Linked DNA regions of Drosophila melanogaster. The protein of the gene in region 2 interacts with the protein of the main gene of each other region in a pairwise test. Each region holds a gene or a part of one and is shown on either strand. Other genes may lie near its edges. The genes, in order: CG16853, jagn and CG13984.

Region 1 (3,626 bases), on a different chromosome or scaffold from region 2:
ATTAGTGCAGTAGACCGTCATAATTGTCATATTAGACAGGAAAATCCATAGACGACAGTCGACCCTGAAGTGTCGATGGACAGCAGCTTCTGGTTTTGCCCGGCCAGACAGGAAAGGAAATTGCTTAATTTAGCGCAAAAATTATCCACTGGCCAACGAGGCTCAATTGCCGGTCTGCCATGGTCGTTTGAGGCAGATGATAAAGCAACCCTTTGCTACGAATTTTTAGCCAGACTGATTTTAAATGACAGAAATGGTAGAAAATAAATTTAACTCACACTCATGATTTTCACACGAAAAACATATTGAATCACAAAGGCAAGGAGCGACTAGAAGAACTCTACATGCTTAGTTCAAAAAGTGACACTTCTGGAGACGATATCTCTATAACTGCACAAGCAGAAAAAAGAGTGGATGATAGCATCAGAGCGCCATCTATTGGCTGGAATGCTGAGCACAAAGATGTTCAGATTCCAAGGGACCAACTAACCCACAGGCAGATCAGCAAGTGCAATTTGTTTGAGGAATACATCAAGCTCCCAAAGAGTGAATATGGACAAACAAGCCGCATGAAGCGATTCCGATCCGAAGAGTTAGCTATTAAGCAAGGTAAGATAAATGTATAATTCCGTTCTTATTGAAGGGCTAACAGCCTTTGATATCTTAACAGAAGATCAAATCGTGGAGCATAGATCATCGAGTCTTTCGCGGCTATCGGATGTCACAATCAAGCCCACCTGCGAGGTGAGTAGTCAGACTTCGTGGACAGCAGCGGACGAGAGTAATATGAATAGCAAGGATTTGGAGGCGAAGCTGGCGGCTGTACGCGGCGGTGGTATCGATCTCGAAACGGACAAGCCCAGCAAGATCCAGCAGCACACGATCCACATCGAGGTGGAGTCGGTGACATCGGCCACGGCTATGCAAAGACCCCCACTGCACCAAAGGATGTGGCAGGTCCTTGTGCAGACGGCGGATACGATTGTCGCATTCGCCTCTATAATCGGCGAGAATTTAACAGTGGCACTCTTCATTGTCCTGTGCCTGTGGTGCCTTTACCTCTTACTAAGCCACTTTTATGGCAACTTGCAGACCAATGTCGGCATGCCGTCCAAATAATTGTAATAAGAATGATTCGTTTTGCACGTGATTGTATGAGTAAAAATGCAGTAAACAGAATTAGCAGAACAGAGTTCCAACCAGCATTGCGCATTCTAATTTATCTCAACATATTGGGTGTGCAACAACACATGATGGCGAGACTACAATATAGTGCCGAAGCGAAATCGGTTAGCATATAGCAAAAACGATCGGCCAGCGGTGGTCGACCTAGTGCATTTGGAATCTGCATGGAAACGGCATCGATGAATATCGTGTGACGTGTCGATTCGCAGGGTGCCAAAGCCGGGGCAAAGTCCACAGGACAAACTCTAATGCGCCGGCGCGGCTGTTCCGTCTGCACGCCGATCGAGTGGATGTCCTTGAGCACATCGCTATCCTTCTTCCTGAAGATCTCAACATCGTCTTCCGAATTTTCTGCGGGTTGATACAGTTATAGTAACTATACTAAATAAATGCGGGTGACATCTGGTTTCACCAAAATGAAACTGTTTATGGATTTATGACAGTAGTGTTATTTTTCAGAGTTTTCAAGGACAACTCCAAGAGACAGTTCCTATCTTTTTTTTATAGATTGGTTTATGCATTATTTTGATATTTTTTACCTTCCGCCAATGCCTTGGACATCCATCCGTACCAATTCCGTTTGTTTGCTCCGCCTAGATTCGATTTTGAATTGGTGCGTACGGTGATCGAGCTGTGTGTTGCAGCCGGATCACTATCTTCCAAATCCTCAAAACATTCGTCGGCTTGAAAGCCCAAAATATCGAAGAGCCGCTGGCAGGTGTTCTTCTGCTCGGACAGTTTGCGGGGCTCGTTAACGGCATCCTGAACCAAATCGCCAATTAGCAAGTTAATGACGATCGCAGTCTGCGGTGGCTCCCTGCACGCCATTAAGTTTACAGCGTCCACAGATCAAATTTGGAAAAGTATCGAAAAATGTCTTACAAGCTACTGAAGTCAACATAATTTCGGCATATACAAAACGATGTTGACAACTATCACACCGGAACTGAATTTATCACTCAAATTTTGTATTAGCTGGTCAAAAAAATTCCCAGTTTTCAACACAACGCAATGGATAATCATATGGATAAGAACGATGAGGACAAGAGGTCGTCATCCCCGGATTCTCAACGTCAAGTTATAATATATATGCCACCCGCCGTTGAACATGGTCATGTTGTGTATCTAAAAGATGCGAATTTAGGCGCCACAGAGACGGAGGCTTCTGCACAACTCGACCCACAGGAGCATCTTTCGAATGCGGATCGGTTGGAGAACAATCGGGTGATTTCAGAGCTGGATGATGAGCCGAGCACGAGTGCTCAGTCCGCAGTTAAGGGTCAGAAATCAGAAGATGATCAGGGTCACCAGACCAAGACAGGTATTTCAAAAATGCCAGGATCTCCTAAGCAGTTGCACAATGTATTGGAAGTAATCTGTCGCTTCTCACGCGAGATTCCTGATGCAATGGAGGGCCGGGAGCAACTCCAGCCGGCAGTGATTGTCCAAATTCCAAAATATCGCGAACTGGGAACCCAGACCGCTGAGTTGCCATCGCAGTCGCAGCGATTGCGTTTGGATCTGACCGACCTGAGACCAGATCCGAATCCACCGCCCTGCGAACGCACGCTGCACACATTCACGATTAGTGGCAACAATCTGCCGGGCAATCCTCGCCAGCTTCGTCAAACGATCTGCGCGCGAATTGGACGCTCCATCTGTGATTTTGTGGCAGCCTTTTGTCTTTGTCTGCAAGTGAACAAGGATTGTGTCTTCTGTCTGGGTTTTTTTGTGGCCTTTGTGATCAGTGCCAGCTTCCTGACTGCCTTCTTCTACCGCACTCTTACCTTCTCCTCGTCGCCGGTGCGAGTGGTGGCCAATCCGGTGAGCGGCACCATGCGCTATGAACTTGCCACACTGCGATTCAACGGAGGGTACTACTACATCTATAATAGCAGCCAACAAAAGCTTCTCTAATCTAATTGGAACTTGAGTTTTATTTTGGTGCGGGTTCTTTAGCTTACATCTTAAATGTGTGATATAATGTTCTGTTAAAAATAGTGATCGAATTCTTATTGAATTTGTAAAAACTTGTATTATAGTTTAATTTTAACAAAGACTTTTTTGTATACGAGTAACACCTTTGGGTATATTCTTGATCAGGATCCCTAGCCGAGTTGATCTAGCCATGTCCGTCCGCATGAACGATATCCTTAGATTTAAAATACATGTTCTGTTTATTTTTAAGCTGCCTCAAACAAAGTCGGGTTGCGAAACTTTGGAAATGCAAGCAAACCGCATGACCAGGTTCAATCAATGGTCTTTCAGCAGTTTTACTGGTTGTCATGGACTCCAAAGTTTGCAGTTCGCTTACGCCGCTGCCGCAATGGTACTGCCTTTCTTCGCCAACTTTTTCTTGATTTTTTTTATATATTTTTTTTTGAGTTTAACTCTAGACAAAAGTCGCTCTGTATAGCGGGTGGCAGAATGGTGCATGAGTG
Region 2 (4,414 bases):
ATTTAGTGCGAGTAATTTCGTAATTTTGAATTTTTCACAATTTTTTTTCCTTAGTTTTCGTGTTTACTTCGGTCCGAAATGGTGTGTTGGAAAATTCGGCATCCGTTCTTCGCACAGGCAATGTACAAATGGAAAATTAAGAGAGCGGGCGGAGCAGGGAGAAAAGGATGCTGCGGAAAAGCTTTGGCTCTCCGCCACAGCTTTTTCTCTCTCTGTCTCAGCTTCCTGGCTCTCCGTCGCCAATTGTAAACAATTGCGCAATGCTCGCCTGCTGTTGCTCCTCCACTCGCCTCGATGCACAAATGGTCACTAAAACTGGATTGTTGTGGCCAATTCGGCCTGCCAGCCGCATTGCAACGGCCTGTGGGGTTGTGTTGGATTGTATTGCTTTGGGCGAAGGTCCTTATTTGGTGGTGTTTTTCAAGAAATAAAGCTTGAGAACTTGTATTTGCCTCTTTAAAGTTATGATAAATATTGTAGATGAGCATATAAACATTAAGTGACTTAATAGGTATACTTATCAAAATTTGTTTTAAATCAACCGCAATAAAATGCTATGTTTAACCCACTCAGAAGAACAAATATATATGCATCTTTATTGATCGATTTTTAAAAAACTACTTAAAAATTCGAATAATAAATTACGATTTAAAAAACATCATTACATTAAAATTCAATTCTCAGTTTAGTTTGGCGACATGCCTGTCATTACACAGTATTATTGACGATCAGAAATTGAAGAACTTTGCTTTAACACTCAAATTGCATTTCAATCCTTATTTATAGTAGTGTGTAAACAGTGACAGAAGGTTGTAAATAGTTTGGGGCAGTTCTCAAACGTTCAGCACCCGGCCAGACGCCTTAAAGCATGGCACTGTGCGGTTCGATGAATAAAATTCAAAATTAACGTACTGGCAAAAATGAAACGGTTTCGAAATTTGTAGAAAAGTGAACTAATTATCAACTAGGCGAGGAAGTAACCATCCGTGGACGCAAACATAAACTGATGTACGCATATTTTCATGTGTAAATATATATATAAAACGTTTCTAACAAACACGAGGCACGTCGAAATGTAAGTGAGCAAAAATGAAGTGATCTCTAGGTTGGTTTTCAGTTTTTATTCCGACTCGGGGAAATTTGGTGGCTTCAGTTGCTTCTTGTCTTTAGTTGACCTCACAAGGCTGCGTATGTGTGTATATATGTATGTCTATGTGTATAGGTGTACATGTGTATATGGATAAGAGTCTATTTAATCAATTTGAAAACGGTATCAACTAACTTTCAACTAACAATAACCTTACCGCCGACGCTTCGCTCAGTTTCGACCATATGTTTCCCTTCCTGTATGACTAAGTGTGCGATACCTTAACAGCTGCATAACTTTAGTTTACCATAGTTTCATTACGCTTTTGTGCACTAGTGTTTTGAGTTAGTTTCAAGTTTCCAAATTATTTACAACTAGCCCTGCATTCCGGCGTTTACTAGTTTGGCGAGTATTTAGATTACTGGAACTTGCGCGTGGCAGTTCTGGCCTTCCAGGCCTTGACCAGGTTGTAGGCGAAGTACAGCGTAAATCCGTGCACCTGGAAGCCCACAAAGCAGAAGGCATACCAGAAGACGCCGTACGGATAACCCTGTAGAAAAACCGAGGTTTAGTAGGGCGGCTCTTGAGGGATTAACTGGCCCAGCCACTTACGCGCCACACAAAGATGTCTGTCTCGTCCAGCTCCACCGACTTGTCCAGCGTGGCGAACTCCCACACGTCCGAGAAGTAGTAGGCGAAGCAGTAGAAGAGTGGCAGGATGGCGAATAGCAGTATGGCCACCATATACTTCTGCATTTCGCGCACCTTGTTGCCCCTGGCGGCCGAAAGGCCCAGGAAGGAGGTGAGCAACGACGCGGCCCACACGTACTCCCACCACAGGGGCGGTGGGACCTCCAGCTCCTCGATCTCCAGCACAAAGATATCCAGGTGGTCCAGAATGTCCGACGTCAGCTTGGCCAGCATCACGAAGAACAGCAGGGCGTGAAAGAAGATGCAGTACTTCAACCTGGACTTGTTCAGCAGGCTAAAAGAGCAGAGAAAGTGGTCGTTCAGTGGCGGATCTGTGTGGGTGAGCCCCATATTGGGGCGCACATGCTGCCCAGCTGGCACTTTGCCCACCCGCCCCCTACAGCAGCAAGTGGGTGGGTGCAGCAGCTCCAGGGTGCTCCGCCGCCCTGGCTGGACGCCACCTGCGATTCGGCTGCAGTAGGTGCCGCCTGCAGGTGGATCTACTGCCACAGGCGCCCCAGTAATTAGATAATTTCGAGTGTAGCTGAGAGCTGGCGATAGCACGAAGTGTTATTAACCTAATTTGATATGTGCCAGCTACGCGCTGCCTGAACTCGAAGTCGTTGCCATCGGTGCCCGCGACCATTGGTCCGCCGCGCGTTGCCATTTCGTTGCCTTCGTTCGTGGGTCGTGTCGTTCGCTCACGTCGTTGCTTATTTTTAATAAATAATTGCACAAAAAATAGGGCTGGCACTAGAATCGATGTGTGTGCGATACCATCGCTGCCACCAAAAAACTGGCGCACATCGATACGCTCCTCGCTACCATCGATTACTTTCGCTTGAAAGCATAGCAAATAACCGTTAGAAAGAGAGGGGAAATTCCGCTAAGTTTTAGAATGTTCATTTTCAGAAAGTCTGCCATGGAAACTATTAATACATCTGCATGGAAACTGTTTACAAAACATTAATTAAATTAAATAATTAGCCTTTTAACTGTATTAGCAACACGTGATTAGTCATATTATTTAATTATTTTAACTTATTCTATTACAGTTATTAAACAGTTATTAGTTTTAATAAAGTGGCAATGTGGTCGTGGTGACTAGCTCCGCTTAGGGAAATTTTAATTGGGAGGATGACTTCGCTAGGTGTGTAACCTCGCTAATGCTGTGTAGAATAAATGTGTTATACTTACATACGTAGAACTTCAGTTTTTCTCTAGTTAGTTTCGGCAGAATGTAGATAGATATTCGAACTAGTCGCAAATGAGAACGATTTTTTAAAGGTAATGCTGAGAGTTTAGCATTGCTAATCTGAAAAGTGGGCTGGTGAAAAATAAAACCAAACCTATTCTTAATGGCATTAATGGCACTTAATACTTTAATTTTCATATCTTTTTTGCACGATTTTAGAAAATGAGGGCTGGTTTTAATACTCCGATTGAAATCTTCCATCCATATGAGAATTATTTCTACTAAAAGTACAAACGCTAGACTAAAATGAATTGAATTGCATTCCAATTCCAATATGTCTTATAGACCAAATGGCAGAACTAGTAAGATTTAGTAATGATTAATGATTAATGAACGGGTCGCGATGAAAAATATTACTCGTAGATTAAAAAAGAAGTATTCTAGATTCCTTTTTCAACGAATATGTATCAGGTGAAAGGAAGTGTTTTTCGAGCCAATAAAGCATATATTGGTAAGGAACACTAGCCGAATCGAACTGGCCATGTCCGTCCGTATGCACGTCGAGATCTCAGGAACTACATATATAAGAGAGATTAATTTAGTTTTATTGCTATGTCAGAAAATGTTGAAATTCATGTTTGAACTTTCACTAGCAGAGAAAGGAGTATCTAATAGTCGGGGAACTCGCCTGTAGCGTTCCCTCTTGTTTTAGTTTCTCCGTACCTTGTTTTTGAATTTGAACTGCAGTTCCAATTTTTCGAAGCCAATAATGCCTAGTGCGTCAAGCCGAAATTATCATAATTGGGTGCAAGTGCTCTTTGATGGGATTATGCAAATTGGATGCAGCTTTGTGTCCCAATCAGTTTTCCAGATTGGAAGCAGTGGGTGTGTCCGGCGGACTTTCGGCGCTCTGTCAACTGGCCAGCACCTGTTGCACCGAAATCCATAAATCAATCTGCCACGAAACAAGAAACAAGCGAGGAAAAGCCAATCTGCGAAAATAGAGAGGGCGACGACGTTTAAAAATAAAATAATGAATTTCCCATTTCAACGCACTCTCTTTATGCTCGCTACGCTACAAAAGTCGAGCATTCGGCCCGGGTGTGTCATCAGTTCTACGGCGGTATTCCTCCGACTTGGACGCGTTTTCATCGCATGCGATCGTCTCCGGCCGAAAGTCGCGTCTTTCCCGCTCCGATTTTAATGTCAGTTGTTGATAATTTCCGCTCGAATATTTATGCTGAGCTCGGTGGCTGACACTTTCGAGTCCAAAGTTGAAGTTGCGCCATAATTGCGATTCGGTCCATAAGGTAATAGACCAGAATAGTACCATCACAATGAGTGGCACTTGCATATTAATTGCATTTCATCGCCGAGTCTTTCTTTGTTTTCGCCAAAAATGAAAACACATACGCGGCAGATTTCATGACTTTTGGGGCCGG
Region 3 (3,102 bases), on a different chromosome or scaffold from region 2:
TATAGATCAATTTTAAATCAACCACCAAAGCAGACGAATTTATTGCTATGAATTAATACAAAGTTTATGTTGCTTTAAATATTTTTTTACTGTGTATAGCATGAGAGTTGGCTCCCCACTGTGACCAAACTCTAACCAAAGTCAAATCGATTATTATTTATCGTCTGCGGTGAGGGGTTGCTCGTCGTTTTGCTGGTTGACGCGGGGTTGTAAAATAAATTCAATTTACTTGCAAAAAGTATCTAAAATTGAATATTTCACCTCCATGAGAAGACAGTGCTTCCCACGTTTACAATTTTCTAAAAAATGAATCGTGCGTGATAGGCTACTGTTTGAATTGTTGCTATTTTAATATAAGCCGTGCACTTTCAGAAACATTTTTTATTACATACCCATCAAGGCACAAAATGGTGTTTACGAGCATGCAGTTGTGAATTTCTGATTTAAAAACCCATTTTTTTTGCTAACAAGTGATTGACCTTTAAGCGCTGGAGCACACAGAAGGTCCTCTAAAAGCAACAGGCAAAATGTTAAATTAAATTGGGGAAAACAGCTTCCAGCTGTTTGAGTAAAATCAACACGAAAAAAAGGGAATTTTTCAAACAGAAACGGTTTGGTTTATTAAATATTTGGAACCTCCGGCCTTCGTCTATAGAAATAAACTTGCATAAATGACGGCCTGCGGTGCATGCTGAATTCAATTTAAGGCCATGACAGTGTCGAGATACATTATGCTAATGACTTCGAGAACGGCAGAGAAAATATCCGATACTGCCACTGTAACAGTATCTGAAAAATTCACTCAGCGCACTCGAGACGGTCTAAGTGGCGTGGAGATACTTTGATTGGGGCTCATGCACAGAGAAGGCGAATCGAATGCCCCCTCAGGCGTTATCCTGTCTAAGCTACTGTGTCCTCACAAGCCAATCACTAAGGTCCTGGCACTGGGACAACATCCGGTCATACCCATACTCCCCATGCATGTCCAGGTCGAGATCATCGTACTTATCATCGTTGTCACATGCCGTGGCTTTGGCGCCCAGGCCAATTGCTGCCTTGTAGACAACGAATGTGATCAGGCTCATTATCCAGCCGCAGACGACGCCGAAGGCAATGCAAGTGGCCACCTGGATCGGTGCTCCATAGTCGAAGAGTAGGTGGTAGTGGAAAATGGTCAGCTCATTCTGCAAATAGTGCTGATACTCCATAATGTCAAAAACTGAAAATTTTAGATCTGATGCTCCTCTACGCGCCTGCCCTTTGCAAGGTGAAATGCGACAGAAATCTGTAGCAGTGAAAAAGCTGTCAGGGCTCAGAACGATTTTCACTCTCAGTCTAACTAGTTCGTATTGTATCTATCACAAGTGCCAAAATGATTCCCAACCCCATTGAAATCGTCTGCGTCCACGTGGTCCAACCGATCATTGATTTACTGGATTACATACTAACGGAAGTCCACTTCGTCGCCTTCATAGCTGCCGTTGCTTGCCTTGGAGTAATCATAGGACTCATCCTTGGGATCGTGACTTTAGTTTGGTTCAAAATGACACGGGACGAGGAAACTAAGAAGACTTATACAGGAGAGGGAATGCCCGCCGAAGTAAAAAAGAACGACTAATGTCGATGTTTTATCAAAATGAATTAAAATGTTAATAAAATGAATGCGCTCTAATTTTCCGTTTTTACAGAACTTATTTGAAACTGTAGGATCTTAACACAATTTATTAAGCGCAATGTTAGTTACGTAAATTATACAAAACGAAGGTCAAGTTGGTAACGCCTTTTCAGACATCGCTAAGTACATTTTAATTTCCCCCAGGAAACAGAGGCTAAAAGTGCAATCAGTAAAGATAAACGAACGAGACCGACATAAACTAAATTTTACCAAAAATTCCACTCCCAAAAGGATGTAATTCTGGGAAAACCCGAGACAAAAAAAGGGGCTCAGAAGGAGGTTTTGTCAAAGGACGACGTCTTAAGGAGCAGAAGACGAGCCCCCAAGGCGTAAAGACAATTTAAGTGCCCGCTTAGTTCGCGGAGTTCATAAACAGGACGCTCGATAAAATGAAAAACGTCGGTGGTCGGTTTTTTTTGCAACAAAAATGCATGACACCGCCCAGGATGAGGAGCCAAGTGGATGGCAGTCGGCCAATGTGGCATCCCCGACTTTATTAAAATTTTGACATCCCAAAGCAGCGGCGGCCAAGGGAGCGGAGCGGATGATTGGTTTTGTCGTAGTCGTCTGGCGCAGCCAACCAGCAAATAACCAGCAATAAAATGGCCAAAGTTTTCGCGAATGGTAAACTGTGCACTGCCATTGCAAGAACACAAGTCAACAGAAACAACGAGATAGGTAGTTTAAGAAAAATTAACTTTCTGCGCCGCTGCGTTGGCAAAGGAAATGCGTCCTCAAATTAAAGGAGCTTTGCAAGCAAAATGCTCTGATATCAAACGAATCTTTAAAAATCTGGATGATTGCATGAGAGTTTCCTCTAGTTCTTTATGCGTTTCACATGGTATATAAGGCTTTAAATCAAAATATTTAGATTTGCCAAGGGATAATTAAACTGTGATAGCTTATTATCGGTTAGAAGTTACTAATGCCGTCTATGCAAGATCTGTGAACAGAGCTACAGACTAGTGACGAACGCAACTCCCATTAGCCAATAATCTCATATTTTTTAACAAAAAATGAAAATATTATATTTATAGTGCATAATTCTTAAATTGAATAATGTGAAAATGCTGTACATAATGAAGCTTTAACTGCAACTGTACACCCTGAATGTGTACATATATTGTTATGGTTTTGCCCTGTTCACATCAGTGGGTGGTTGGGTTGAAATGAGATTAATGTGGAAATTCCGGGCCCAGACGTCGCACGGTGGGCCCAAATTAGTACTTTGGTTGCCAAAATCAAACGCGTTTAGAAATAATTATTTAGTGCGCTTCTATTAGTTAGATATTTGTTGAAATGGCATTTAGTTACTTCTACTGTGGAAATTTTTATAATTTTCGCAACATTCAGACCTTTGTTTCACAAGCTCCACTGTGCGGCGGCTTACCAAACATATTCGTCATTTAAGCTCAACCAAATGTAAT

Evidence for each region.
Region 1: the proteins of jagn (region 2) and CG16853 interact in a two-hybrid assay, tested with the Drosophila melanogaster proteins (one large-scale study listed by BioGRID).
Region 3: the proteins of jagn (region 2) and CG13984 interact in a two-hybrid assay, tested with the Drosophila melanogaster proteins (one large-scale study listed by BioGRID).

The regions. Positions count from the first base shown.
Region 1 is NT_033779.5:13,540,456-13,544,081, forward strand, and holds CG16853 (uncharacterized protein), read left to right. Parts: upstream 1-2,013; 5' UTR 2,014-2,196; coding exon 2,197-3,102; 3' UTR 3,103-3,105; downstream 3,106-3,626. Other genes in the region: CG16852 (uncharacterized protein), read left to right, coding at 345-609, 671-1,119; CG9263 (uncharacterized protein), read right to left, coding at 1,220-1,536, 1,725-2,013.
Region 2 is NT_033777.3:5,777,458-5,781,871, reverse strand, and holds jagn (jagunal), read right to left. Parts: upstream 2,558-4,414; 5' UTR 2,445-2,557; coding exon 2,356-2,444; intron 2,073-2,355; coding exon 1,700-2,072; intron 1,638-1,699; coding exon 1,506-1,637; 3' UTR 564-1,505; downstream 1-563. UniProt on the Drosophila melanogaster protein: Required for endoplasmic reticulum organization and proper vesicular traffic during vitellogenesis. Required for oocyte and bristle growth.
Region 3 is NT_033779.5:6,306,973-6,310,074, reverse strand, and holds CG13984 (uncharacterized protein), read right to left. Parts: upstream 1,257-3,102; 5' UTR 1,209-1,256; coding exon 906-1,208; 3' UTR 600-905; downstream 1-599. Other genes in the region: CG43922 (uncharacterized protein), read left to right, coding at 1,373-1,618.